Canis lupus familiaris: one gene and its partners. The protein of the gene in region 2 binds, or shares a complex with, the protein of the main gene of each other region. Links are inferred from orthologs where the notes say so. Each region holds a gene or a part of one and is shown on either strand. Other genes may lie near its edges.

What was found.
Region 1: TMEM237 (region 2) and B9D1 share a complex: the UniProt entries of both Homo sapiens proteins name them as parts of the tectonic-like complex. The link is inferred for Canis lupus familiaris from reciprocal best matches to the Homo sapiens genes TMEM237 and B9D1.
Region 3: TMEM237 (region 2) and B9D2 share a complex: the UniProt entries of both Homo sapiens proteins name them as parts of the tectonic-like complex. The link is inferred for Canis lupus familiaris from reciprocal best matches to the Homo sapiens genes TMEM237 and B9D2.
Region 4: TMEM237 (region 2) and MKS1 share a complex: the UniProt entries of both Homo sapiens proteins name them as parts of the tectonic-like complex. The link is inferred for Canis lupus familiaris from reciprocal best matches to the Homo sapiens genes TMEM237 and MKS1.
Region 5: TMEM237 (region 2) and CC2D2A share a complex: the UniProt entries of both Homo sapiens proteins name them as parts of the tectonic-like complex. The link is inferred for Canis lupus familiaris from reciprocal best matches to the Homo sapiens genes TMEM237 and CC2D2A.
Region 6: TMEM237 (region 2) and TMEM231 share a complex: the UniProt entries of both Homo sapiens proteins name them as parts of the tectonic-like complex. The link is inferred for Canis lupus familiaris from reciprocal best matches to the Homo sapiens genes TMEM237 and TMEM231.
Region 7: TMEM237 (region 2) and TMEM17 share a complex: the UniProt entries of both Homo sapiens proteins name them as parts of the tectonic-like complex. The link is inferred for Canis lupus familiaris from reciprocal best matches to the Homo sapiens genes TMEM237 and TMEM17.

What each region holds. Positions count from the first base shown.
Region 1 is NC_049226.1:41,067,626-41,071,723, reverse strand, and holds the start of B9D1 (B9 domain-containing protein 1), read right to left. Parts: upstream 2,801-4,098; 5' UTR 2,669-2,800; coding exon 2,606-2,668; intron 935-2,605; coding exon 866-934; intron 1-865. UniProt on the Homo sapiens protein: Component of the tectonic-like complex, a complex localized at the transition zone of primary cilia and acting as a barrier that prevents diffusion of transmembrane proteins between the cilia and plasma membranes.
Region 2 is NC_049258.1:10,565,182-10,569,448, forward strand, and holds the start of TMEM237 (transmembrane protein 237), read right to left. Parts: upstream 2,801-4,267; 5' UTR 2,668-2,800; coding exon 2,629-2,667; intron 1,859-2,628; exon of another isoform or gene 1,777-1,858; coding exon of another isoform or gene 1,759-1,776; intron 160-1,758; coding exon 128-159; intron 1-127. UniProt on the Homo sapiens protein: Component of the transition zone in primary cilia. Required for ciliogenesis.
Region 3 is NC_049222.1:113,405,958-113,409,962, forward strand, and holds the start of B9D2 (B9 domain-containing protein 2), read left to right. Parts: upstream 1-1,205; 5' UTR 1,206-1,406; coding exon 1,407-1,429; intron 1,430-1,507; coding exon 1,508-1,599; intron 1,600-4,005. UniProt on the Homo sapiens protein: Component of the tectonic-like complex, a complex localized at the transition zone of primary cilia and acting as a barrier that prevents diffusion of transmembrane proteins between the cilia and plasma membranes.
Region 4 is NC_049230.1:32,842,118-32,845,617, reverse strand, and holds part of MKS1 (Meckel syndrome type 1 protein), read left to right. Parts: intron 1-656; coding exon 657-754; intron 755-944; coding exon 945-1,073; intron 1,074-1,238; coding exon of another isoform or gene 1,239-1,335; coding exon 1,336-1,440; intron 1,441-2,086; coding exon 2,087-2,195; intron 2,196-2,743; coding exon 2,744-2,800; intron 2,801-3,500. UniProt on the Homo sapiens protein: Component of the tectonic-like complex, a complex localized at the transition zone of primary cilia and acting as a barrier that prevents diffusion of transmembrane proteins between the cilia and plasma membranes.
Region 5 is NC_049224.1:65,396,170-65,400,378, forward strand, and holds the start of CC2D2A (coiled-coil and C2 domain-containing protein 2A), read right to left. Parts: upstream 2,801-4,209; 5' UTR 2,519-2,800; intron 1-2,518. UniProt on the Homo sapiens protein: Component of the tectonic-like complex, a complex localized at the transition zone of primary cilia and acting as a barrier that prevents diffusion of transmembrane proteins between the cilia and plasma membranes.
Region 6 is NC_049226.1:75,821,463-75,825,474, forward strand, and holds the start of TMEM231 (transmembrane protein 231), read left to right. Parts: upstream 1-1,212; coding exon 1,213-1,351; intron 1,352-1,448; coding exon 1,449-1,618; intron 1,619-4,012. UniProt on the Homo sapiens protein: Transmembrane component of the tectonic-like complex, a complex localized at the transition zone of primary cilia and acting as a barrier that prevents diffusion of transmembrane proteins between the cilia and plasma membranes.
Region 7 is NC_049231.1:63,645,677-63,648,789, forward strand, and holds the end of TMEM17 (transmembrane protein 17), read right to left. Parts: intron 2,662-3,113; coding exon 2,558-2,661; intron 2,387-2,557; coding exon 2,273-2,386; intron 1,396-2,272; coding exon 1,117-1,395; 3' UTR 501-1,116; downstream 1-500. UniProt on the Homo sapiens protein: Transmembrane component of the tectonic-like complex, a complex localized at the transition zone of primary cilia and acting as a barrier that prevents diffusion of transmembrane proteins between the cilia and plasma membranes.

The DNA of each region.
Region 1 (4,098 bases), on a different chromosome or scaffold from region 2:
GGCCTGTCCCATCCTCAACCCCCCTGCTCCATCTCCAGCCACTCTCATCCCTGCTCATGCTCTTCACTGGCTACACAGGCCTCCTCCCTGTGCCTTGGGCATGCTGGGCACGCCAGGCACGTTCCCACCTCAGGGCCTGTGCACCTCTGCCCTTTCTTGTTGTTGTTGTTGTTGTTGTTTTTTACCTCTGCCCTTTCTGCCTGCACAGTTCTCCCTACGGACCTCCGTGTGGCTTGTTCCCTTCCTGCCTTCACCCTTTACCCAAAGTTACCATCTCAGGGAGGCCTTCCCTGGCCACCTTACCTAGACTCCAGCTTCTCTCTACCCTCCATTCCTCCCTTCCTGACTTTACTCTGTCCCCGGCACTTTTTCCTAGAACATATTAGAACATCAGTACTTATTGTCTACCTCGCCCCACGAAACTGGGACTCTGGCCTGGCTGTCTGTGGAGACAGATTGCTCTGAGGCCGGTCTTGCAAGCAGAGCTTCTATTCGGCCTCTTGACTTCCCAGAGTCCTCCTCATGGGCTAGGAGAGGGACAGAGGACCTACCGCCCAGATACTTCCAGGCTGGCCCTCAGGGGTCTGTGCCGCCCACACGTTCCTCTTTGCTGCCAAGTGCAAGTTCCCAGGACAGGGTGTGTGAGCGACCGCAGCTTTGATCAGGAGCCTGAAGGTGGCTGCTCCACCTTCTCTGCTCCAGCTTTACCAGGAACAAAGTCATGTTTGGAACCCCCTGAGCTCGGTGTCTACCTCTCAACAGTTTCTGAACTGGAAGACGAAGGGGTATGGTGGACATCGACACCTTCAGAAACCCCATTAAGCATGGAGGCTGTGAGGGAGGGAGGCCCAAGAGCCCAGCTTACCGCCGTGGGGGCCCAGTCCTGGCCGTACACAAAGCAGTACTTGCAGTAGAGATCATCATACTCAGGAAACTGTAGGAAGAAGCACACACAGGTTCTGTTTACAGGGATTGTGGAGGGGGAGGCACCGCGGTGGCTAGCTAAGGGCAGCCAATAGGGATGCTGACACTGGGTGCCTGGGGTAGAGTCTAAGAGACAGCCGGGGATGGGGACACGGAGTTCAGTGGAAGGGTTGGGGCCTGAGATGTGGGAGTCCAAGGGACAGTCCCAGGCTGCAACCACCCTTGAGCCTTTGCCCAGGCTCCACCTTGTCTGACATGCCCTTCCCATTCCTTTTTTTTTTTTTTTTTTAAGATTTTACTTATTTATTCATGACAGACACAGAGAGAGAGAGAGGCAAAGACACAGGCAGAGGGAGAGGCAGGCTCCATGCAGGGAGCCCAACGTGGGACTCAATCCCAGGTCTCCAGGATCATGCCCTGGGCCGAAGGCAGCGCTAAACCGCTGAGCCACCGGGGCTGCCCTGCCCGTCCCATTCCTCCATCTGGCAAACTCCCTTTCATCCTTCAAAACGTTCTAAGGTCCACCCCACCCCCAGCTCTGTCAGGCCCTGGTCCTTCCCTCCACCAAAGCTTTGATACCTCCTTTATTTCTGTCAACCCTGTTTGACTGTGAAGAGGGAACAAGTGCAATGACCTTTCTGTGTCCCCCAGAGCCTGGCACAAGGGGGCACAGAAGAGATCTAGGGAACATTGCCGAAGTGAAAGGATGCTATCAGGACATGAAGTATACACAGGGCTGGAGCTCAAGGCCTGGAGAGAGGGAGGAACCCAGAACTGAGCAGGAGGCACAGTGGGAGTGGCATGGGTGCTGACAGAGCAGAGAGGCATGATCCAGCCCAGCCAAGGGCCCCTAATGGGACAGAACAGAAGAAGGGAAGGCAGTCTTGGACGCTAGGCCAGGGGCAGGTGGACAGGGTGGGAACACGGGAGCATTATCCCGATGAAACAGGGAGGCAAGAGAGACCTAGTAAGAGGTCCTGGCAGAGCTCTGCCCAAACCATCTCACTTAATCCCCACAATACAATAAATACCATCTTCCAACAGCCTGGAAGGGTAACGAACCAAAGTTTTGGTGTCAGGCAACCTGGGTTCAAATTTCAGCTTTGCCACTCCCTTTGGGCAAGTGTCCCCATCTGTAGAATGGGGATGCTAGTAACACCCACTTCCCAGGGTTGTGGTGAGGGCCGAATGCGCAGTGCTGGGCACCGAGTCCGGCACGTGGCGAATTCGTGGTGCACTTATATGCATGTGAATACGACAAATGGGTCTCCCCAAGTGTAGGCGATGGGGAGCAGCGTCCGCGTCGGTCAGACCCGACAGACCCTCCCCGGACCTCTCCACCACCCCCGTCGTTGGCGCACATTCACCAGGTCGCCTCCATCCTAACCCAAATGCAAGGACCTCAGGGTTCAGAGTGCAGAGCGCTGGGGGGCCGGGGCCCAGCAACCCGGGCGAGTCTCCGCTCCTCCCCTTACACCCGCTAGGCTCCTGCCCGGGACTCCACGGAGCGGACACGAGCAGAACCAGGGCTCACAGGCCTGGTCTCTCAGACGCTGGTTCCCGTCCCCCGCCTGACCCGACAGACGCGCCTCTCCGGGGCCACGCAGCAGCCCGGGAGGTGGCGGGACGGGCCCCCGCGGGTGGCTGGGGGGAGGGCGGGCGGGGGTCCCCGGCCGCTCACCTGGGCGCTCTCCACCTGCCCGTTGACCATGAGTAGGAAGACGCTGGGGCCCGCGGCCGCCATGGCAGGGCTGGGGGCGCAGGAAACGACCCCCGCGGCGCGCGGGGCTGCTAAGAGGTGCCGGGTTGCCCTGGAAACCGACGGCGTGGCGCGTGGGACACATTTCGTGGGAAGGCACCTTCGCGAAAGAAAGCACGGGTGCGGCAGTGCGCAAGCGCAGCCGGCGGTTGGGGGCGGGGCGGGGCGGGGGGCGGAGCTGGAACGGTCCGCCCGCGGTGTAGAAGCTAGCCGCGCCGCTGCTCGGGTCACACCCGCAGGGCGGAGGCGCGCCCTGCCTCCCGCCGGCCGGAAGCCAAGTGGGGCCGATGCCCTCCGCCGCGAGGTGGCGCTGTGGCGCTACCGGGGGGACGGCGGCGGGGACGCGCGGAGGGGAGCCTGCGCGGTGCAGCTGGATCGCCGCCGCGAGTGGAGGTGACGCGCGCGAAGGCCGCGAGTCGGGCCGGGGCTGGGCCGCCCGGGTTCTGCGGAGTCCCCGGTTGGGGACTGCGGCGGGTCCCCTGGGGCTTTGAGGCCCCTGCCCCCCACCAAAAGTGTATTAAACAAACTGGGGAGGGCCTCAAACAACCGAGTTACGGCTCCTCGGTGTGAAAGGGGGAAACGGAGGCCCACGGAGGAGCAGCACCTGGCATCCCAGTCTTCCAGCCGTCGGAGGAAGACTGAGCCAGAACCCACGGCACTGCCCGGTTAACCCCCTGGCCGCCCCGAGTGGTCATAGCTTCGGTTAACACATCGATCCGGTTCGTCTTAGCACACACTGTGGTTTGTATTTGCACGTTGATCACTATCCTGACTCCCCTCTCTAGGCAGCCCGCTGTTCCATGAGCCCAGCGGCCACGCGGATCTTGAGTTCTAGTTCCCTGGCACATAGAAGCCCTGGTAACAGTGCTGCATGAATGAATACTTGAATACATGGCCACTACTCAGAGAGGAAGCAGATTCCCAGGGGAGGTGGCTGGGCCACAGTCACAGCAGCAGGTAAGTCGCCGAATCAGCATTCACATCCAGGACTAAACAGGCTAAAGAGCCTCACTGCCTCCTCTGTCTGGTCCCAGGCCAGGTTGTCAAAGTGGCATTAGAGACCTTATCTCTGATCCAGGAAGGGATGCACAGGTGTGTAGACTTCCAGGAGGCCATGCCCCCAGCAGGGACCCCAGGGGGTGGTCCCACCGTAGCCAGCTGCTAGCTTGGAAGCAGACCAGGGGGGCTCCCTTCAGACACCTGTGCAGGAGAGGGAGGGAAGAGTCAAGGCCAGCCTGGACCACTGACCTCTTCCGGAATGCTGAGCAAGGATAACTGATTAGGGGAGGGGGCTGTGGGTAGTCTGATGGGAGATGCTGCGGCTGAGGAGGCCAGATGGGTGGGGTCCCCACCGCAACAACACAGCTCAGAGTGTAGGTCTGCTCTCCAGGGACTTGGTCATACTCCCTTCCCCC
Region 2 (4,267 bases):
TTTTCCTAAAATTTTCAAGAGATCATCTCTGAATTATTATAATTTTGCAATGGAACTAGTTGACTTTTTCACTTTATTCATTTTGCATTTTTAAAACTCAATGATACAATCTCTAACTTATGTTTACCTTGGCACAGGTGGAAGGGCTCGTGGAGGACGCTATGGGGAGAAAAAGAAAATCGCTTGTAAGTAAAAGTCTCAGAACATCTTCATTTCATGTACTTCAAATCTTTTGATAACCTTGTTTATCAAATGCAACAGAGGAAGTACTCTTGAGAATCAGATGGGCAATTCTAAAATTGTTCTAACATTTCTAAATTTCATATAAAATTCCTTCCTTCCTATACTCCTTTCTATCCAGAGGCCAGGCTCTGTTCTAAGTACTACAGATGCACTAAAGAACAAAACAGAAATCCCTGCTTTTATGGAACTTCCATTCTAGTGGTTAAGTATTAGAAGATCACACACACACAAATGAGGGAGAATGTGGAGTGCTATTTTAGTTACAGAAAGTCTCTCAGACTTCCGAGCTGAGACCTGAACAAGAAAGAAGAAAAGAGATAAAGGGGAGCAAATACAAAGCCTTTTAGGAGAAACGGTTTCAGATAAAAGAAGCAAGCCGGGTAGGGCTGTAGCATAGTTATCAAGACAGGCAGGGGCCAGATTAATTAATTAGGCTCTTTTTAGACAAAAAGGGGGCAGTCCGGGTGGCTCAGGGGTTTAGCACCGCCTTCAGTCCAGGGCCTGATCCTGAAGGCCTGGGATCCAGTCCCACCTCGGGCCCCCTGCATGGAACCTACTTCTCCCTTTGCTTGTGTCTCTGCCTCTCTGTGTGTCTCATGAATAAATAAAATCTTAAAAAAAAAAAAGACAAAAAGGTGTCCAGGTTTTATTTTAATTCAGTGGGAAGCCAAGGGAGGTTTTAAACCACATAGCAACATACTTAAAAAAAAAATAAGATAAAATCACTCTGAATACAGTATGAGACTGCATTTTGGGGCAGAGAGAATTAAAAAAAAAAAAACCTTATAAAAATAAATTCATTTTTAAAAATTTTATTTATTTATTTGTGAGACACAGAGAGAGGCAGAGACACAGGCAGAGGGAGAAGCAGGCTCCACGCAGGGAGCCCGACGTGGGACTCGATCCCCGGTCTCCAGGGTCACGCCCTGGGCTGAAGGCGGCGCTAAACCGCTGAGCCACCCGGGCGTCCCTAAAAAATAAATTAAAAAAAAAACAAAAAACTTAACAAATGGTAAGAAAAGTTGTGTTTGCCATTCAGAGAGATTACAGTTGAGACGCATTCTGGAATCTTTCAAAATAAAATACTATCAGCAATGTCTCGAAATCAGTTTAATGTTGCAAGTGTCTCATGCTGCTTGCAGGGGACACTGATTCAAAAGGGTTTACATTTTTAGACACTTTTTCTTTTTCGTTGGTTCTACGACCGTCCCATTTAGCGATCCATGCGGTCAGCGTATTAATACAAATGCTACGAGATCAGGACACAGCAGGCTGTCTCAACACTATCCAGTGATGAACCTCACCACCGGGAAAGAGCAATAGTCCAGGAAAGAGCCACCGTCAGGCGGCTACGGATCGCGTCCTGCCCAAGGCTTCGGGTCACACGACGCTTGCACGTTTTCAAAACTCCCGCGAAAATGACGTGTCACCGCCGACCTTCCGGCTCCTCAAGAGTCGGAGGGCTCCACCGGACACAAAATCCCAGAGACTCAAACGGAACCGAGGCTGGCTTACCACCTGCTTCTTTCCCATGGCGTCCAACGCCGGGCTTCCCCGCGGCCGCGCGCCGGGAGCTCGCAGCCGGGAGCTCGCAGTCCGCTCCCGCCCCGCCCCCCGGCCGGCTCCCGCCCCGCCCCGCCCCGCCCCCCGGCCGGCTCGCTATTGTCCCCGGCTGGCTCCCGCCCGGGCCGCCGCGCGCAGGCGCCGTGCGTCATCGGCCTGCGCCGCCCGGGCCTGGCGGACACTCAGCCGGTTCCCTGCAGGACGCGGCGGGGGGGGGGGGCGGGGGCCGGTCGGGCCTTTGCAGTGCAGCCCTGCGGAAAGGGGGCCGTGGGCGTGGGGGGCTGACATGCCCGGGAAGAGAGACTCCAGCGGGCGTGGGGCAACAACCACGGTTCTGCTCATGGTTTCCGAGTGGTTGCAGGGATTTGTTCGAGGGCGGTGGGGAAAGACCATGATCAATGGTCTCCGCCAGGAAACTGCGGTCTCCTCCCTGGGTGGCTAGAGGCCCTCCGGGAGGAGTCCGCAGGAGAGGCCTAGCTGGCAGCCCCGGGGCACCCAGGGGCCCGGAAGGCTAAGCAGAGAGGCGTCGTCACAGCAACGTGGCCACTCAGGCCCGGGCATCGGCACGCCCGGGTCCTCGCCTGGCTCCCGGGGTTCGGCTCCCGGCCTCGGGACGAACTTGCATCGCCCGCTCCGGTCCAATCCTGTGAGCATCCGAGGGGCGGACGCGCGTGCACGGCGAGCGGGGCTCTCGGCGGCCCTCGGCGGCCCTCGGCGGCCCCAGCCCTAGGCGGCGGCCCCGCCCCAGGAGCCGCGGAGGCGATCGGGCTGCACCCCCCGCCTCCGCCACGCCCCGTGGCCGCAGCGCCCCTCACCGCTCACCGGGTGGGCCTCCGGCCGAAGCCCCGAGTCCGCCCTCATGGCGCTCCCCCTCGGGGCTCCCTCGGCGCAACCGCCGGCGGCCCGCGCCTGGCTCCCCGCGACCCGGCCTCCGGGGCCTGCGAGAGGGGGGCTCCCCAGGGTCTCGCTGGGCCGCAGCTCCTGGGCCGGACCTCCGCCTGCCTGCGGGGCGCCAAGCCCCGCCCCGCAGCGCGTTCGCGTCAGGGGGGCGGGGCTGGACCCGGAGGGGGCGGGGCTGGACCCGGAGCGGGCGGGGCGCGGGGAACCCGGAGGGGCCCGAGGGCGGTGCGCGAGAAGGACCCCGCGGAGGTCAGAACAGGCTCTGGGTACCAGGAACCGACGATTGGCAAGGCCAAGGCTGCCCGGAGGAGCCGGGAACTTCTAGTCGCTGAACCAGGAGAGGTCTGGAAGGGCCAAAGACGGATTAAAACTCCTTTGAAAAGGAGGACTTTGGGGATTCCTGGGTGGCTCAGCGGTTTAGCGCCGCCTTCAGCCCAGGGCGTGATCCTGGGGATGCGGGATCGAGTCCCGCATCGGGCTCCCTGCGAGGAGCCTGCTTCTCCCTCTGCCTGTGTCTCTGCCTCTCTCTCTCTCTCTCTGTGTCTCTCATGAACAAATAAATAAAATATTTAAAAAAGGGGGGGGGGGACTTCTGTGGAACGCTGTCAGATTCTCCAGACACGGCTTCTTCCGACGGATCTCTGAACAAACTAGAGACCCCTGTACTGCAGGGACGTAGTAGGCACCCAGAGCGGACCCCTACCAGGCACTTACCGACTGGGTATTTGGTTCTTTAACTTCTTACTCTTGTATCTTGTTTATTGCGTGACTTTGGTTTCTTGTGTGGCGTATGGGAAGCCAAGTTAACTGTCATTCAGTTTGGAATCCTACACCCGTTAAAATTGTGTAAACCCCGCTTTGGGCATGAATAGAGGGGACGGGGTGCAGAGGCGCATCCCGTGCACCGCCCTTGTAGGGCGCAGAGATGCCCCGCCCCCACCCCCACCCCCACCCCCACCTCCGGGCCCAGACAAATATCAGATTTCTTCTAGTTGTGTGTGTGTGTCTGTCTGTCTGTGTAGTGATACAGGCAGTTCTCAAAATGTTTGCCACTTGCTTATCCTCCATCTCTGTACAGCAAGTTTGGGGAATTTTTTTTCTCAAAAAGAAAAAACACAACATAAGATCAAATCCAAGTTCATGTACCATTAAAAATGACTTAATTTTCTTTGGTGGGATTTTTTGGGGGGGGGGGAGGGAGGTTGGGTTTAATTTTTTTCTTTTTTGTTTTTTTGTTTTTTTGTTTTGAAGATAATCACTAAGTTAAAAAGAGCTACAAATACTTTGATGTACATACTTGGTTTTATATTTAAGAAAGAGATTGGGGGAGTAGACGGATGGTGTGGGGATGGGGAACATTAGAGAATAATGTAGAAGATAGACATACAGGGGCAGCACGGCTGACTGGAAGTCTTAAGACTTAGGGAAGAAAGAAAAATAAGACTTCTTGGAATAGCATCCTCATCTTACGGTTTTCTCATCTATGGGTCTCTAGGACTAAAGTCAATTGCCCTTTCCGAATTTAGACATGATGTAGATATTGGCTTTTAGGCAAATTAAT
Region 3 (4,005 bases), on a different chromosome or scaffold from region 2:
ACCAACTAACTCCCCCCCATTTATGATTTTGAGGTGGTGACTGACTACTCGTGTGGTCCCATTTTGCTAGAAATAGGAACATGAGGCTCCTTCGGTCCTGGTCTGGGCTGGAGGAATAGGGACAGACTAGGGGTTCAAGTGGATTTTGAGGGTGGAGGATACACTGCTCAGGTAATCAGTGCCTCTGACTCAGTCACTCTACTTGCACCCATTGCACGGATGAGATAATTGAGACCTGGAGCTGCGCAGAGAGTCACATGACACGTTACTGGCTGAGTCCAGCCTCCAAGAACTAGGTTTTCTGCAGATAAAGGGGCCTCGGTTCCTCATTTCTCATACCCCTTCCCCCACGCTCCCCATCCTTGCTCAGAATCAGTAACAGCGAACTGGGCGGCCTTCCGGAGAGGGAAGTTGCATTTATCAGTACTCGGGGAGCCAAGGGAAACTCTAAAAAAAGGAAGGAAAACCCCCTCCCAAGCTTGAGTCTCTCTGAGGGAGGAAGGATTTTTTTTTTCATGATAAGGCGGGGGGGCGGGGGGGAAGCACGCCATGACCTCAGGGAGCTTCCCCCTTGCTCCTGGCTCAAGCGTCTGATCTCGGTCCCGGCTGGGAGAGTCTTAGCATGGCCAGATGCGCGCGCTTATTTTGTGCGGAAGGCGTCCGGGATTAGCAGTTGGCGCGCAGGCTTCCTCAGCCACACTCAAGATGGCAGCGGCCCGACCACGCCCCACATGGCGGAACCACGAGTCGCGCTGGGAGAGCCACTCTTCCCAAAATGGAGAGAGAGGGGAGAGAAAACGCCCATCACACCTTAGCCCCGCCCTCGCTCCCTGCTCGGGCCAATTAACGGCCCGCAAGGCGGGTGCCAGGCTAGGAGGAGGCTGTGGTTGCCCCAGCAACAACCAGGGAGCCCGAAGGCGGGCGCAGCCTCGGAGGGACCGGCGCCTCGGGTGTCTCGCTGCCAGGAAGCTCGTGGGAGAGGCGCGAGCCAAGCCTAGGAAGTCGGCGTCCGCCGACAGAGGGACAGGTTAGGCGCATGAACTGCACCCCACGCTGCTGCTTCGCCCCACCTAACCGTTAGGTGCTCTGAGGTAGGAATAACGCATGCGCGGGCTTGGGGGCGGGGCTCAGGCGGCCCTGCACTTAAGACGCATGCGCCTCGCGGCGCTCGGACGCGAGGAGGCGGGGCTTTGCGCCTGTGGGCGGGGCCTCAGGGTCTTGGGGCGGGGTTTTCCGCCGCGCTGAGCCAAAGGAAGAAGTTATCTCAGAGGCGGGTAGTTAGTTAGAAGCCAGCTCCTCGCCCAGCTCTCGGCCCGCCCCCCTCATTTTTCCGGGGCTCTCTTGGGGAGGCGGTCAGGATCGTGGTTAGGACTGCAAGCTCAGTAGTTTGACGAAACTAGCCGGGAATGCTAGTGCTACGCCTTACTTGGTAGGCCTCAGTTTCCTCATCTGTCAAGTTGGCGATGATAGTACACACTTCACAGGGCTGTGATTATTTTTCTCTCAGGGCCATGGCTGAGGTGCACGTCATCGGGCAGATCATGGGGGCCACCGGTTTCTCGGAAAGTAGCCTCTTCTGCAAGTGGGGCGTCCACACAGGTATTCCCGGGCCTGGCTCATTTCCCCTCCCCGAGTTTCTGCCCTTCTTCTTTGACCTGCCCTGGCCTAGTCCCTGATCCGCATCTTCCATTGGCTCCCAGGACTCCTAGCCACGACCATACTCTGACGGTGTGACTCTCACATTGTTCTTCCCATCCCTTCCCTCTGGGGGCTCTGGCACCCATCTCTGAACCCGTAGCCCCTGAAGATGGGGCTAGACGCCCCCCCCCCCCCCACACACACTCCCAATCCTCAAAACACTAGGCTGCTTAACCCCACTGGACTTGGTCTTAGGGGTGCGCTGGGTCCCTCCCCTACTCTGCTTTCTTTGCTTTATTGAGTTCCGACTATAAAGTGGACCTCCATCCCCGCTGTACAGAGAAGAGGCCACCCTCCTGTATTCATAATTCTCTGTGAGGATGTAGGAGCCCCTTGGATCAGCTATCCACGTTCATTCACACAGGCCCAGGAGGGACTTCAGAGGCCCCCGTTTTCAGGGCTTCCCATCAGAGGCAGTATAGTAGCCAGTGTAACAAGTAGGGCCATGGGCCACCAGATCTGGGCTCAAATACTAACTCCCTCACTTATTGATTGGTGGCCTTTGGCCTTGACCTCTCTGCTTTCTTCTCTAAAAATGAAGCTAATAGCAGCTAAGAGGCAACATAGTGTTGAGGTTAAGAGCGGACTGAGTGTTAAATTAAACTGCGTATTAATTTTGTGGCCTTGGGCGCTCATCTTTGCCTTGATTTCCTTATCTGTACAATGGGAATAATAACAGCGCTTACATCATGAGGTTGTCCTGAGGACTAAATGAAAATCAGGAGCACTGAGAAGAGGGCCTGGCCCAGTTAAGTGTTTGCCTGGCTTATGTAAAAGCCGAATGGACTTCTGTTAGTAAAGCCTCGAGTGTGCTGCCTAGCGTAGAGTAAATGCTCACGAAGTGAGTGGCTGTTGCCATCATCCTCTCTGGAGGGCCTGGGCCCTTTGCAGTTTCACTGGCAGGTAGGATGTTGGCTGAGATTCCCAGGGAAAGGGGGTTCCTGCAGCTCAGCACATAAGAGGCAGGCTCCGGAGTCAGACTTGGTTTCCAGTCTGGACCCCACCACTCACCTGCTCTGTGACCCTGGCCAGGTGCTGCCCCCTCTTGGAGTCTCATTTTTCCTCATCTGTAAAGTGGGAAAGTGGGAATCTTTGTCTTTCAGAGGGGTGTTGGGAAATCTCGTATGTGAAGAGCCTGGTACTTTCCTGGCCCAGAAGGGAGGGATAACTGACATGATTTTTATTATTTTAGGGGGTTTCTTAGTGGGGGGGGACAGTTAATCCAGCAGCAAGCTCAGGGGCATCCACATAAAGGGCTTGGACCCTGCAGTCGAGATCACAGTTTGAGTCCAGCACCACCACGGGATGTTGGGCAGCTGCATTCCTGCTGTGCTCCAGCCTGGATGACCGTGCTTGCACACAGAGGCATTCACTAGGTGTTCATGGAATAAGTGGCCAAGTGACTTTCCTTCTCAGAGTCTGTTTTTTTTTACCCGTAAAATGGGGATTCTATTAACACCCACCTCCTAGGAGCACTTATTTGTCCAACAAACACTTATTGAGCACCTTCTGTGTACGAAGATCAGAGTTTGAGGTCCCGGGGACCCAGCAGTGTAGAAGAGGCATGCTCTCCTGGGGCTCCCAGTAGAGGAGACAAAATTTTTTTTAAAAAGCAGGTAAGGAAATGAGCACAGGGATCACTGACAGTGGTCACTATGGGAAGAAATGAGAGGAGATGACGTGATAGGGACTAGTGTTCGGATAGGAGGGTGGGGGGGGCACCCCTCTGTGAGAGTGGCACACTTGGGCCGATCCCTGAAGGAAAAAAACAGGCACATCCAGGAGCCGAGCTTTCTGGGCAGAAGCCAGAGGTGGTGCAAAGGCCCTGAGGAAGAGGAACAGAAATCAGGCCAGTGAGGCTAGAGGGTAGTGAGGGATGGGGAGAGTGGTGAGAGATGAGTTCAGGAAGGGGGCACAGGAGGCCACACCAAGCAGGGCCTTGTGGGCTTGGGGGGGGGGGAGTCTAAACTGGGGGGTGGGGTGGGGATTAAGAGACCCAGAGGGCAGATTAAATGAATTCATGGCTAAAGCGCTTAGCACAGCGTCTGGCTTTTGCTATTATTGTCACCCCCAGGACTATTGCTATTACTATGTGCCTTTCACCATGTGCTCAAGCTCCTGAAGGCCACCCTGGGCCCCATTTTAGTCCTTGGACGAGGCCTCTAATGTGGGGTGAGAAGAGTGACAAAATGCCATCCAACGCTTATCCAGTACTCACTGTGCCCCAGACACTGTTCTGAGGGCTTTCTGTGTATTGGCTCATTTAATCCTTTCACAAAACTATGAGGGATGCGTTATTATACCCAT
Region 4 (3,500 bases), on a different chromosome or scaffold from region 2:
GTATTAAATGAGTATTTTTGAAAGATTAATGCTTAATGTTAAGAAAGCTCTGGGTTGGTAGCATGTAAAATTTGGGTTTTCTGTTTTAGAAAAGTAAATGAAATTACAGTTAGCGCTGAATTACCGATGGGAGGACTTTTCACACTATGCTTTGTATCCTATTTGGCATCTTCCAAGTACCTGGTAACATCAACATCTACCGGGCACACTCACCCAACTTTTTTTGTTTTTGTTTTTACCCAACTTTTGGTTGGTATGTACTCAGAAATTGGAGACTCATTTTAAAGATTTATTTATTTATTTGAGAGAGAGTGAGCGAGAACAGGGGGAGGGGGCTCAGAGAGAGGGAGAAATTCCAGGAGACTCCGTGCTGAGTCACCCAGGTGCCCGTACACACTCATTTAATGTTAGCATAAATAAACCCATTTCTGAAGGATAACATGCTGCTAAAATCTTGGAACAAACCAAGGCGTGGTAGGAATCTTCTTTGGCTTGTTTGTACCACTGCTCCCCTCCCCAACACATATAATTGTGAGATGGCTTTACCTCTTAGATTCAGGTCCCAGATGAGGTTTCAGAAGGAAGACTTGCCTTCAGTACCTGATCCCATGTGGCCCTGACCAGTTGGGTCACAGGGCACTGCTCTCTTTTCCTAGCACTGTCAGAAAATGACCACTGCAGCCCGGGAGGTACCATCATTTTTGGTTGAACGAATGGCCAATGTCAGGCGACGACGGCAGGACAGGCGAGGGATGTAAGTGCAAATGAGCACGGGGGCTGGGTGGAGGGGCCTTTGTAGTCCTTCTAGGCCAGTGTCTGGGTATGTCTACCAACTCGAGCTCCCCGTCCTGCATAGGCCTCGCCCCTGGCATGCTCTCCCAAGTGCGGGCTTCAGGCTCTTCAGGGGGTGCCTGGGAATTGACACTTCCTGTGGTGCCTTTCAGGGAAGGCGGCATCCTCAAGTCACGAATTGTCACCTGGGAACCCTCAGAAGAGTTTGTCAGGAACAACCATGTCATCAACACCCCTCTTCAGACAATGTACATCATGGCAGACCTTGGGCCGTATGGAAAGTGAGAGAAGTCCCTCACCACCCAGCTCAGATCCTCCTCTTTTCTCTCTATCCATCACCTATCCTGTTATAGTCACCTTGGGGTATGTAGGAGGGGGGGACTTTTTCTTTTTCTTCTTGATTGTGCTTAGAAGAAGGTATTTGACTATGATAATTCTCACTACAGCCTCTGTCCTCTCCCCTGGCATGGGCCGACTACCTCCTCCTCTCTGGTTGATGGGACCAGCGGTCCTGAACCTAGGTGTTGATTTCCTGGTTTCTAGACTTGGCTATAAGAAGTATGAACATGTCCTCTGTACTCTGAAGGTGGACAGCAATGGTGTGATCACAGTAAAACCTGATTTCACTGGCCTCAAAGGACCCTACAGGTGAGGAGAAGAAAAAACCGGGAGTGGGGACTGGCATTCATTCCTTCCCTTGGCTTCACTCCCCCTAGTTAAGGGGATTCTGAGAAAATCCTTCATCTGCCCTGATTTCTAAATTCCCAGCCAATAGTTCATATTCTGTCTTATAATAAATCCTTAAGATCCTGGGGACTCTGTTCTAGGAAAGTGTGCAGCTATACCAGTTTGAAAGGGCTGACTTCAATGGTGTAATTAAGTGAAAATAATTCTCTGTGCTGCTGCCTGTAGGACCAGCCAGAACAGGATGGGGTGAGCTCAGACAGATCGCTTCCTCTGGGCCTGACTATTCCTACCTCTATGTCTTACAATAAGAGAACTATACGTTAGAAATGATCAAGGTGAGAGAACTGGGTACCAGGATGTTGTGCTTTAGGGTTTCCCCATGACTTTGAGGCAGAAATGGGCCCCAAACCTATGCTGTGTGTCCACTTTAATGCCCCTTCTGCTTTTCCGCTTTGTTTCCCTCGCCTGCTCATCATTCTGGCCACTTTCATCCTCGTTTGCTTCAAGTGAGGCGTATGGCCAATGATGGGTCATCCCTGAGCTAGGTCTGGAGAGACACATTTCTTCTTACCATAGTTGGTCTTTTTGTGTGACTTTGACCCTACAGAATTGAGACTGAGGGGGAGAAGCAGGAGGTGTGGAAGTATACAGTGGACAATGCATCCTCCCTCGCACAGCCAGAGGAGGAAGAGCGGGAACAGCGTGTGTTCAAGGATGTAAGAGCGAGTTCATTCCAAGTGCAGGGATGAGCCTTGGTGCCTGAGAGCTGAAATCATGTTCGGGGTCAATGTTCATAGTTGCAGGGTCTTTCTTACTGGTCCTCTCCTGACATAGGAAGCATTGCTGACATATCAAGAACTTTTGATCATACTATAACATAATAATAATAACAATGACCATTTGTTTGAGTACTTACCGTGCTCTGCGAGGCCCTTCACATACTTTTTCATTGAGACTATACAACAACCCTCTGAGGCGAATGCTTTTATTATTACCATTTTTATAAACGAGGAAACTGAGATTGAAAAGCTAAGAAATCTGCCCAAGGTCATGGGGCTTGTAAGTGCAAGAGCCAAGGCTGGGTCCCAGACCAGCAGACTCCAGAGGCTCTGTACTTCACTTTAAAATGTCAGTGGCTTAGATGCTTCAGCTTCCAGTTGTCTGTGGCATTTCCCATTACAGCTTCTTTTCTCCCTCTCATTCAGAACTGACCCTGGTCTGGTTAGGGTTGCATTTTGAGTTTGAATATGGTTTGTTTCCTCAGCTTTATGGCCGGCACAAGGAGTATCTCAGCAGCCTTGTGGGCACGGACTTTGAGATGGTGAGTGGCCTGGCATCCCGCAGCACCATGAGCTGGGATTAGCCAGAGCATTTAGAATGTGGCTGAGTAATAGCATCTCTTTTAAAGGACATATTCTCTATGCCAGAAGGAAATCAGAGAATAGCATATAGAACAGAGTTCTTGTTATGTGTTACAAAATAAAGCAGAGGTGCCTGGGTGACTCAGTCAGTTAAGCATCTGATTCTTGATTTTGGGTCAGGTTATGATCTCAGGGTCATAAGATCAAGCCCCATGTCAGGCTCTGTGCTCAACATAGAGTCTGCTTGAGATCCTTTCCCTCAACCCCTTCCTCCCACCCCCCTTCAGAGAGCTTTCGCGGGCTCTCTCTCTCTAAAAAAGTAAAATAAAATAAAATATGGTATATTAAAAAAGAACGGTTAATGAAAAAGAAGATGTCAGTGAAAAAAGTCTAGAAGGGTACACACATGCTATGGGTGGCTTTCTCTGGGGTGGGGATAGGGGTGGGAAGGTAGATGGGTGTTGGGTAGTGAGAGGGATATGTCAGGGATGTTTACTTTTTATTCCCTAAACTTAGTGGTTTTAAAATTTTACCATTGGTAATGCATTCACATATTACTTTATAATTAATTTTTAAGATTAATAGAGGGGATCCCTGGGTGGCTCAGCGGTTTAGCACCTGCCTTTGGCCCAGGGCGCAATCCTGGAGTCCCGGGATCGA
Region 5 (4,209 bases), on a different chromosome or scaffold from region 2:
AAAAAGAACTGTGATGTATTTTAGGACAGAAAGATTCCTTCTCAATAAATTAAAAAAAAAGTTATATAGGAAAGATACAGAAGTAAAAATGAAAAATGGAACAGAGATGATTTTTTTCTCCTCATTCTTTCCTGATCATTACCTTGAATGAGTTTCTCAGGAAATCAAATGACATCAAAATTTATTTTTTCGTGAGCACAGTTCCTAAGAAAAGATAAATCAATACTGCCTGACTTTAATATGCAGCTTGTCATCGCCAAATGCATTGAGCACTTGTTAATATATTCCTATTGGCAACATCAAAATAAGAGGCACAATTTACTGCAGACTTACTTTGTGCTATCTCTGGATGTATGATCCCCCCGACCTTACAACAGTACTTCCAGCTCGGTTGTACATGCCTCAGTTTACATGTGAGGTACCAAGGCTTCCTCTGAGGTTGGCTTCTGGCAGGTCACAGGATTTGTCCAAAGTCATGGTCATTAAATGTCACATTCAGAATGTGACCCCATGACTTGGTGATTTCAGTCTTCCCCAGGCTGCTCTATCTCTCTTTCTCACTGTTTATTCCTGCTTTTGTGATGATATCAATGACTCACCTATGCTAGTTCACTGTCCTAGAAATTCGTAAAATTGAAAACTTACAGAGTCTTGCCCCACTGAGAAAAGGCTTTGGCTACTTCAGGTCAATGATTTATTTAACTTAATGCAGAAATCCAAAGACATTTTTCTAGGAAATACTGATACCTCTATCCAAACAAATGGACTCTGAGGGTCATGAGTAGCTCAGTCATATCCAGAGGACTCTGTGACAACTTCTACAGAATGTAGGGAAAAGAATGAAGGTATATGATACGAGATGCATGGCATCTCAACTTGGGCTGCTTAAAAAATAATACACTATGAGAGTCCTATTCTAAAACAGTGAGAACTTGGGTGTATAGAAATAGTGAGACCTGGGTTCCAATTCTAGTTCTATTATCAGCTATGTAGTCTCGAGGCCATGCCTTCACCTCTCTGAGATACATTTCTTCTCCTGTAAACTTATGATGATAATTTTTACCTCTAAGAGTGATTACTCTAGAAGAGCTAGGTGATAGAGTGTGTGGGTAAAATGCCTAGCACAGACCAGGCTCTCGATATTGGTTAAGTGCTATTATTAAAACAAGGTGCTATTAGAGAGGGGAAGTAGAAGAAAGGAGTGAGGACGGAAAAAGAGCTTAGAGGACAGAAGGGAAATCATAAGAAAGACTCTAGGTGATATTCAAGTCCCCCATTACCATCTTCAGCTCCCACCCTCCCCACCTTCAACTTCTGAGCTCCCAAACTCAAATTCCTCTCTTTCCCTTCTCCTAGCTAGGCCCAAGGCAGTTTTCTTTCTCTCTGGTGCTTCTGAAGCAGCCCTCACCCCGGCCCCACACACCCATGGGCATTTCCTCTCTGTGTACTGTGCTAAGCTTTTTCTGGCCTAGACTGTTAGGCTAGGAGCCTGGAAACCTGGCAGATGCCACACACCCCCCTTCTAAATTCCGTATCTACTTCTACAAGGTAATCCAGCCACAGCTTCCCTTTGTATAAAGTTAGTGACATATCGCTTTATAGAATTATTTAATCAGCTTGATATAACACACATTGCCCTAGAAGACTACATATAAATGCCATACTTGCGCTGCACTCTGTGGTATATGCCCCGTGCATTTACATGATGAACTAAGGGCTCCCAGGTCCTCCCTGGGAGTAGTCAGCTGTGCTCCAAGCACGTTCGACTCTTTTATAAATATCTGATGGCGCTTAGCTCATTGTACTGTTAGAGTCTGTTCATAGGTCTGTCTTCCGAGTGAACTCTGAGCTTCTGATCTGGTCTAATGCTTTTCTGTACACTCTGAACTCCAGCACGTTGCTGGTGCATCGTTCATGCTGGATATGTGTTGGCGTGAACGACTCTTTAAATGAGCTCTAGGACATAGGCATAGAGAGATATTTTATTCTGGAGCTGAATTTATTTGCAGAAGAGGTTATATGAAAATCCAATAACAGACATGTATTTCCCATTAGACTTTATTAGCTTTCCATAGTGCCTCTCTGCAACGAAGGCCAACTAGTAGTATAAGTAAAACAGCTAGCAGATTTTCTTGTGGTCTTTTGGAATGGTGATCTTCTTCCCTTTGTCCGCAATGGCTGTTTCTCTGTCTAATGCCAAGCAGAATGAGGTGGCGATAGCTAGCTAGCACTTTGCCCTTGAACCAATTTGAACTGAAAGGCTCAGAAATGCAACAGGCAGCAAATGTTTCTGGGACGGAGACTGAAATGCAACAAGATGGCACGAAAAGTCCCAGGAAGGAAGCAGAATGACCATCTGGGAGGAATTCCACCCAGGGGCAGTGATGAGCCAGACTTCCATTTCCTGCAAACCAGACACCAGACAGCCGCTTAAATCAGAGCAGCCCGAGTAATGCTCTAGGGAGTCAATTCCAGAAAGCAAAACCTGAATCATAGTGATGGGAACCCTTACACTTACAATTCATTAAATCCGCTCAGGGTGCCGAGGGGAGCTGAGCTCCAAGGCCGGGTCACTGAAGGCAGGACACCACTGCTGCAGCCCTGCTCCCGGTAAGACAGGATTACCTTAAGGAACTTTACAAAGCACTTTGCAGATTCCGCTTTCTGGGACGAAAGGAAAGTGGAGAGAGAAGAGTCTTACTGTTGAATCTTCTAAAAGAATCCAAAAAGGCTGGATGTTGGGGCGGCTCCCGGGCTGCTCCCTGGGAGGCTGCAGAGCCGTCTGGGAGCAAAAACACCCGCTTAGCAACACGTTCCTAAGGGAGGTCACTCAGTGACTTTTTTTTTCTTTTAAAGTGACAGGTCACTTCCAGAGGGGAGCCGGCAGGAAAAAGACAAGAAGGAATGGGCTTGGGGCAGCTGATCAGAAATTAGGGGAAGCTTTAGGAGCCACACCCTCCTTCTTGTCATCAGAGTCACTGGGCATTTCTGGCAAAAGGCAGGTCACGCTCAGAGGGAGGTGGTTTAAAATCGTGAAAGGTCCCCATTACAGGTCTGGCTTATGTGCAGAAAGGTCCTGTGGTAGTGCTGCTGGCCACCAGCGAGTGTGGTGCAGGAGTGTTTTCCAGTTAAATGTGGAGGCTGAATGCTCAGGATTAATCCTTGCTTATTCTTTGAATCCCACTGAAATCGCTGAAAGAGGATATAAATGGTAGGGCTCAAAAAAGCAAAGGTAATGGGAGAAGAAGCAAAGCAGATGGAAGAGTAATGGAATGAAGAGACCAAGGAAATCCACACTCCAGGCTGTGTATGTGTGTGTGTGTGTGTGTGTGTGTGTTGTGTGTGTGTGTGTGTGTGTGTGTGTGTATCTGTGTGGCACGGAGGAAGCAGAGAGGCATAAGAATGTGAAAATGAGCCCATTCATTCTGCAGGATTCCAGAGAAGGCCAGGATTTGGCTCAGTAGTAGTGTGATGGGCTGCATTGTGCCCCTCCAAAAAAAGATATGCTGGAATCCTAGCCCCCAGGACCTCAAAATGTGACCTTATTTGAAGAGAGAAGGGTCTTTACAGAGGCAGTCAATTTATAAAGAGGTCATTAGGGTGGCCTAATCCAATCTGAATGTGTCCTTATAAAAAGGGAAGATTTGGAGACAGAGACAGACATGCACATGGAGAAGATGATGTGAAGGCCCAGAGAAAACAGCATCTACAAGCCAAGGAAGGTCTGAAGCCACCAGCAGCTGGGAGAGAGGCCTGGAACACATTCTCCCTCACAGCCCTCAGAGGGAACTAATCCTGCCAATACTTGATTTCTTTTTTCTTTTATATTATATTATATATAATATACTTTATTTCTTAATACCTGATTTCTTACCTCTTGTTTCCACAATCGTGAGACAATACATTTCTCACCATGTAGGTGGTCCTTTGTTATGGCCTCCCCAGGAAGTGAATACAGTCAGATATCAAGGCAGGTGGGGGCTGAAAATGCAAGAAGATATGAAAGGTTGTATATGGAGGGGCAAGATCCTCAGGAACTTCCCTTACCCCTCACAGCCTGAGAAATATGTCCATCCTCCTTACTCTCCCTTTTTCTCCCTCACCCCCTCAGGAGACTGGAGGCTACATCTCCAAGGAAGTTGAGCCAGAGACACCTTGGTCTCAAGTTCCCAGGTATAGAAGAGGGTGGGTGTGCCTCAGGGCTGAAAA
Region 6 (4,012 bases), on a different chromosome or scaffold from region 2:
GTCAAAATCTTATGGCTGGGGCAGCCCTGGTGGCCCAGTGGTTTAGCGCTGCCTTCAGCCCTGGGCATGATCCTGGAGACCCGGGATCGAGTCCCACGTCGGCCTTCCGGCATGGAGCCTGCTTCTCCCTCTGCCTGTGTCTCTGCCTCTGTTTCTCAAATAAATAAATAAAATCTTTAATTAAAAAAAAATCTTATGGCTCATATTGTCGATTGAACCGCGGTGAGGACCCTGGATAGTTTTTCCGAAGGATCAGCTCTTGGCCCCCTCAAGCATCTATGTAGTTAGGATCTCAGCTGCATTATCTAAAAGCTATTTCTAGGTTGCCTTCAAAATAGAGGCATGGCCTGCTGGATTCCGCTCTGACCACAAACCTCACACTACCTTTTGGCGCTGCATTGTGATCCTTTTAGGGCCTCCTGAAGAACTTGGCTGTTGACCAGGGTACAAAAAAAAAAAAAAAAAAAATTCCTTCTGCCATGTTCAAAATACTGGTTAGAGGTGAAAGCATTCAATTAAGTGATAAGCCACTATCATCTTTGGGGGGGGGGGTGGCACAGCTTCCCCTAAAACCGGTGGCCAAGCTTGTCCCCAGGATAAGCTAAGGAAATTCAGCAGAGAGAGCCACGTAGTAATTACCCTTTACCCCTGGAAGAGCTGGGAGAGTTGTGTCCCGTGTCTGCGCCATCCTGCTGTGGAGTAGAGAGAAAGCAACAAAGTTCGGAGCCGCAGGGAGCCGGCCTGGCCTTCCAGCGCCACGTCCAGGAGCACAGCCACGTTCCTCTTTTGCGTTTTCCTGCGACGGAAGGTGTGCTGTGACTGGCCGGATTCAGGTGTGAACCACAGTGCGGATTAACGGAGGACACGCGAGCCGGTAACGACTTTAAGCCCACTTTTCTGAAAAACCTTCTTTCCCACAATCGTTACCACCGGAAACGGCTACGATTCTGGGCCCTGAACACGCCGCGCGCCCACTTGGCCTTTGGAAAACTGCGCGGCACGCGTCGAGCGAGGACGAACGCCCGCCGGCCGGCGCCGTCCCCGCTTAGCCCCACCCCCGCCGGGGCCCCGCGTCCTTGCTATTGGTTCCCGTCCCTGCGCCGTCGGTTGCCGTGGAGACCGAGCTATGGCAACCAGGAGAAGCCAAACTTGGTCCTCCCTCGCGAACCGCGCAGGGCTCCCCGGCGAGCGGCCGGAATCCGCGAGGCGGTCATGGCGCTCTACGAGCTCTTCTCCCACCCGGTGGAGCGCGGCTACCGCGCGGGGCTCTGCTCCAAGGCCGCGCTGTTCCTGCTGCTGGCCGCCGCGCTCACGTACATCCCGCCCCTGCTGGTGGCCTTCCGGAGCCACGGTGAGCTGCTCGCGGCCGCTGCGCGCACAGCTCCCCGCGGCCGGCTGCGCCCGCGCCCGCCTTCCTGACCTGCTGTCCACCGCCCTCTCCACCGCAGGGTTGTGGCTGAAGCGGAGCAGTTACGAGGAGCAGCCGACCGTGCGCTTCCAGCACCAGGTGCTGTTCGTGGCCTTACTGGGACCCGAGCGAGGCGGGTTCCTCGCCTGGAGCACCTTCCCCGCCTTCAACCGGCTGCAGGGGGGTCACCTGCGCGTCCCGCTGGTTTCGGTGCGTGGTTCCCGCCCGGGGCCTAGAGGGCCCCCGGGACTGGGCGGGGGGGGACGGGGGAGCGGGGAGAGGGCGACCAGCTCCGGCCGTGGGAAGCCCAGCGTGGGTGTTAGGGGTCCCTGAACCCACGGAGGTTGTGTACAGAGACGCGTGGGCTTGGGCGTGGATTTCATTCCCGGGAAGTGACTCTCTTGTTTCACTCGACTTCCCCAAGCCGTCCACAGCCCCCAAGAATGTTAGCCCCTGCTGTCACCATGTGTCCCACAGAAGCCTGGGGATAGCCTGTCTCTGGCCCTCTTCATTTCCGTGGGCCTGGCCTGATGAATGCGTGGTCGCGAAACTTTCTTCAGGAGTCACGAAGGCCGAGTGGTGTTCTTATTAATTACCCCAATTTTTCGGTGCAGTTGTGCATCGGAGCAGCGGCTGGTTGGACAGGCATTTTTATGCAGACCTAACACGTGGAAGAGGCGCTGATTGGTTCATCGATCTACCCAGAATGTGCTTGGATCCCAGTCCCGCCTCTCTGAGCTTGTAGAATTAGATGCTGCTCATCTTGCAGTTGTCCAGGATGAAAAGGAGGCGTTTTACTGTCTTTAATTTAGAATTTGGTTCAGGATGAGTGAGTACTTCCTTTGCAATCATTACCTTTCTGCTCATTTCTGAAAACATTTTCCTCTAGAAGTATGAAAATTCTACTTTTTCTTCTTCCAAAGCTGAATCTCTTTGCATATCTCAGAAATGATTGATCTACAAGCCAACTTGTGTAGCTGAAAAAAAATTCAGACTTTTTTTAGTAATTAAGTGAAAAAAAATTTTTTTAAGATTTTATTTATTCATGAGAGACACAGAGAGAGGCAGAGACACAGGCAGAGGAAGAAGCAGGCTGCCTGCAGGGAGCCCAGTGCCCACTCGATCCCAGGACCCTGGGATCATGACCTGAGCCAAAGGCAGACACTCAGTCACCAAACCACCCAGGTGCTCCGAAAAATTTTTTTTTACATCTGATTGGTCATATGAATAACTACAAACAAAATACAGTTCAGATTACTTTTTTCCTGATTTTTCTGATTATAAAAATGCATATAAAATATATAATACCTAAATGTAAAATATTAAAGACTTACAGGTATATATAATGACATAAAATTAAAGTTTGAGTTTGATATATGTACATTTATTAATTCTTTGAAAGATCTGCATAAAATTTTCATTATAGGGAAAAAGTAATGGATTTAACTAGTTCCCTGTTGGTGGGTTCATGATGGGCTTTTACTATTTTCTTTCTTTTTTTTGTTAAGATTTCATTTATTTATTCATGAGAGACACACAGAGAGAGAGGTAGAGACATATAGGAAGAGGGAGAAGCAGGCTCCATGCAGACAGACTGATGTGGGTACTCCATCCCAAAACTCCAGGATCATGCCCTCAGCCAAAGGCACACGCTCAACCTCTGAGCCACCCAGGCATCCCAGGATTTTACTTTTTTCACTATTAAGGAGCATACTGCAGTGAACAAGATTCTACTTTATTTTACTTAGAGACACAGGCAGAGGGAGAAGCAGGCTTCATGCAGGGAACCCAACGTGAGACTCAATTCCGGGTCTCCAGGATCATGCCCTGGGCTCAAGGTGGTGCTAAACCACTGAGCCACCCGGGCTGCTCTGGATCAGACCTTTTAAAATGATTTTAAAAAGTAAAACTGGAATAGGAGACAAATTTGCCTCAATAACTCCTCTCTAATCATGATCTGTTGCCCATTTTCATTCTTGAGATGATAATGCCTGTGGGGAAGTGTGACTACGGAGAGAGGCTGTGTCAAGGTATGCTTTTCACGGTATACTCACTGTATTTCTGGTGTTCTGCATGCATGGGTTTCCTTTCCAAAAGTGGAAGCAAAGGTTTTCTTTATTCCAAACAAAAGATGTACTTTATTATTATTATTTTAAATTTTTAAAATTTATTTAATTTATTATTTTTTAGAGAGAGAGAGTGCAAGCAGAGCGGGGTGGTGCAGAGGGAGGGAGGTGGAAGAAAGATAATCTTAAGCAGGCTCCACACTGGGAGGAGGTTGCTTCCACAACCCTGAGATCATGACCTGAGCTGAAATCAAGAGTCTGATGCTCAACCAACTGAGCCATCCAAGCGCCCCTTGTTAGTTTTCCTTAGGTTAGCATTACCAGTCTTTTAAGTTTTTGTTAGAATTTTTTGGTTTTTTTTTTTTTTCATTACATTTGAGTATTCCTCTCTATCATACTCTCAGGTTACTTGAGTCTAAGTGTGCCCTCTCTCTCTCTCTCTCTCTCTCTCAAATAAATAAATAAAATGAAAACTTAAAGTAATCGTGAAAGCAAGGAGAGAGCATTAGGGTTCATTCATTTGTTCATCCACTACAAC
Region 7 (3,113 bases), on a different chromosome or scaffold from region 2:
AGGAAAATTGGAGAGAATACTTTTTAATGTAGCTACAACTGTCTCTCAGTAAAATACATTACTTATAAAGGCACATTTCCCTGTAGGAAAGAAGAAAATATTATATCTCTTAACACAATCCAATAATAAAAATAATGTTCAGATATACCCATGCAGCTTTGTTCTTAACAGAACTTCCCTAAATAGATTTCTCCTATTAGCGAGGGAACGTGCTCATTTAAGATCATGACTATTGTCCCTTTGCTCATCTCAGCTCTGTGTACTATTAACAAGCACCCTGCTTTTCAAATCAAGCCGGGTGTGAATTTACTGGCTATGAGTTTTTCAGTGAACAATGATCTAGTAGATGAGGTGAAAAGGGTTAATGTGCCTAGCCCAGTGCCCACTACATAAAAGGCTAACCCTGTATATATGTTTCTCTTTCCCTTGCAACTCTGTAATAAAAATAATAAACCCACAGCCCAAAAGAATTATACAAGACAGGAATAATTTGTTGCAAATACTTTAACATAAATATTTCATAATTTATTATAAAGACATTTTGCACATCATGACTATAAATACTGAACATGGTTTTATGAAAATTACAATTTTATGATTTCCCAAATACCATGATAATCCACCGGTTTTTAACTTCAGTATAAAAGCTAGGAGTAGGGTTAGAATTTAACCCTAGCAGACATGAAAAATCGGTATCTAGATTTACAAATATATAATACATCAGAATACTGACAAGAATTGCCATGTGCTTCAGACGTACTGCCAAGGCATGAATAGCCAACAAGTTTAACAGAAATATACACATTTCTAGTTTTAGGTGCTACCTAGAAATATTCCCGTAAAGCTCGTAAACTGTGACTACTAACACAGACTTCTACACACCTGAAAAGTCAACAAGAATATTAAGAAATCTGGTGCCAAATGGACACTATTTAGGCTTTAGGGTTGACTCACTGCTTTCATGTACTATACAGTCTTATTACCCCCAACTTTGCAATTTCAAAGCTAAAGAATATATAGTTCAAAACACTAGCTTTGTTCTCCTCATGCTAGAACTCTGATATTTTCCTCTTGTGGAAAAGCTGACCTTTCAGCTTTTCACTCAACAGCACTGGGTCAAATCTCTTCTATACAAGATCTCATTCTTCTCACGCCTCCTCTATATGCAGAGAGCCGGTCAAAGTCTTGGAGGTGGAAACGAGTCGCCAACTGATTTACCATTTTCCTCAGGGTAAGAAAGGCTGAAACAACTTGGAAAGTAAGGAACAAAGTAAAGATGATGTGTATCGCTTTTTCCAAGGGCAGATTTGTTAGGCCCTCATTAAAGAGCAAGAAGAGAATTAAAGGCAGCTGCAATAGGAGGCTCAAAAGCCAAAAGCCAGCCAACTCAGGAACCTGCAATGACACACAGTAAGAGTAATCACATCAGTAGAGGACAGTCTTTTGTTTATACGGATCAGCACTCTGAAACCTACATTATGAGCTCTGTAATTCAAAAGGAGTATAACATGGTCCCTGTCCTCAAAGGATTTACAGTCTTGATTAAAGGTGAAAACTAACTGATGTGGCAATGCTAGAACAACATACCTTGGTGAATAATGAAATGCACCACTTAGAGGTATGAACTAAATACTACAAGAAATAAGACAAGAGACTACTTAGGGTAGGTAAAAGAAAGAACCCAAGGACGTAAGCTTTTAGGGTTGGGTAGAAGGAAGAAGAGGCTTAAGAAGGTAAGTAAGCAAAGATGTGGAATGAGCACAACTAGGAATCAACATGTCAGCCTGGAATGGATGCTTGGGTTAGGAAACAGCAAGAAATACAGTGAGGCCTGTGGGTGGGACCTGGAAAACCAGAGAAATCTTTAGGCAGCATCCCTAAACTCTGGTAGCTGTGGATGCTTATGCAGCATGACGATTCAGAAAGCATGTGCCTGGCACAGGATTCCTGAATCTAGACATGTTTAATTGACCAAGTATTTTCAACAATGGTGAGAAGAGGGGAAATTGTCAATTCTTAAGTATTTACTATGTTCAGGTACTTTATATAAATTATTTCACTTAATCCCAACAAACGGTGGAGTAAATATTTTCTCCATTTTATATACAAAGAAACCAAGGCTCAAGAGATTCAGCAAACCGACTACAGTGACAGAAACAGTAAAGCTGCAGGCAGGCCTTTGCTCCTTTTACCACATCTCTCTGCCTTTTCCTTGCTATGAAAACCATACTGCCTTTATATGTAGCACTGAGCAAAGGAAAGAAGAGCCTACCTTTTCCTGTAGGTTCCCCATGTAGCCCAGATACAACCTGATACCTTCAATTAAGGTTATTAGGATGATAACAGTGACCACAATAAATTTGTAGTAATCAGGCAAGATTGAATACTAAAAAACAAAGCAAAACACAAAAATTAGCATGTCTGTAAAAATCTCATAGATAGTAAAACTGACCTGGGATAGAAAACAGATATTAAGAACTGTAATTTATTGACAATGTAACAATGCCAGGGAGGGGCAGGAAAGATCTCAGCAGAAGTATTAAAAGCATAGACTTACCTTCATCTGAAGCATCATAACGCTGCTTATCCACCAAAGTGGGAAAAAGTAAGTGTTAAAATAAAGTGACATCTGCAACGCCAAACTAGATACCATTTCATTATCTACAAAAGAAAGAGAAAAAGAACAAACTCTTAATCCTGGTCAATGCCCTAGAGGTCCTTTCGTTTCTTAAAGTTAGTAACTACGGGGTTGGTTCAACAAAGCTCCAAATTTTAAGCCTATTTATAATTGCTGATGGTGAAAAGAAATATTCATCATAATACTATTTAATACTATTTAGTTCTTGGGGATGTGTTATATAGTTTTCAATTACTTTATCATTTTGCCATTACAGCCTGTTGACTTTTTTGTACATTACCGGTATAGATTAAATGTGGAATATTAATATGAATCCTGTTGAACAGATAAAGATCGTTACCTCCTTTATAGAGTTCTATGTAAATAGAGGCTATAAAATGAACATGTAAAATACATAAACACTAATCTCACAAACGAACCTCATACAAAAACTAATCCCTCTAAATTACAGACACACCCCTCTTCAGCATACCCT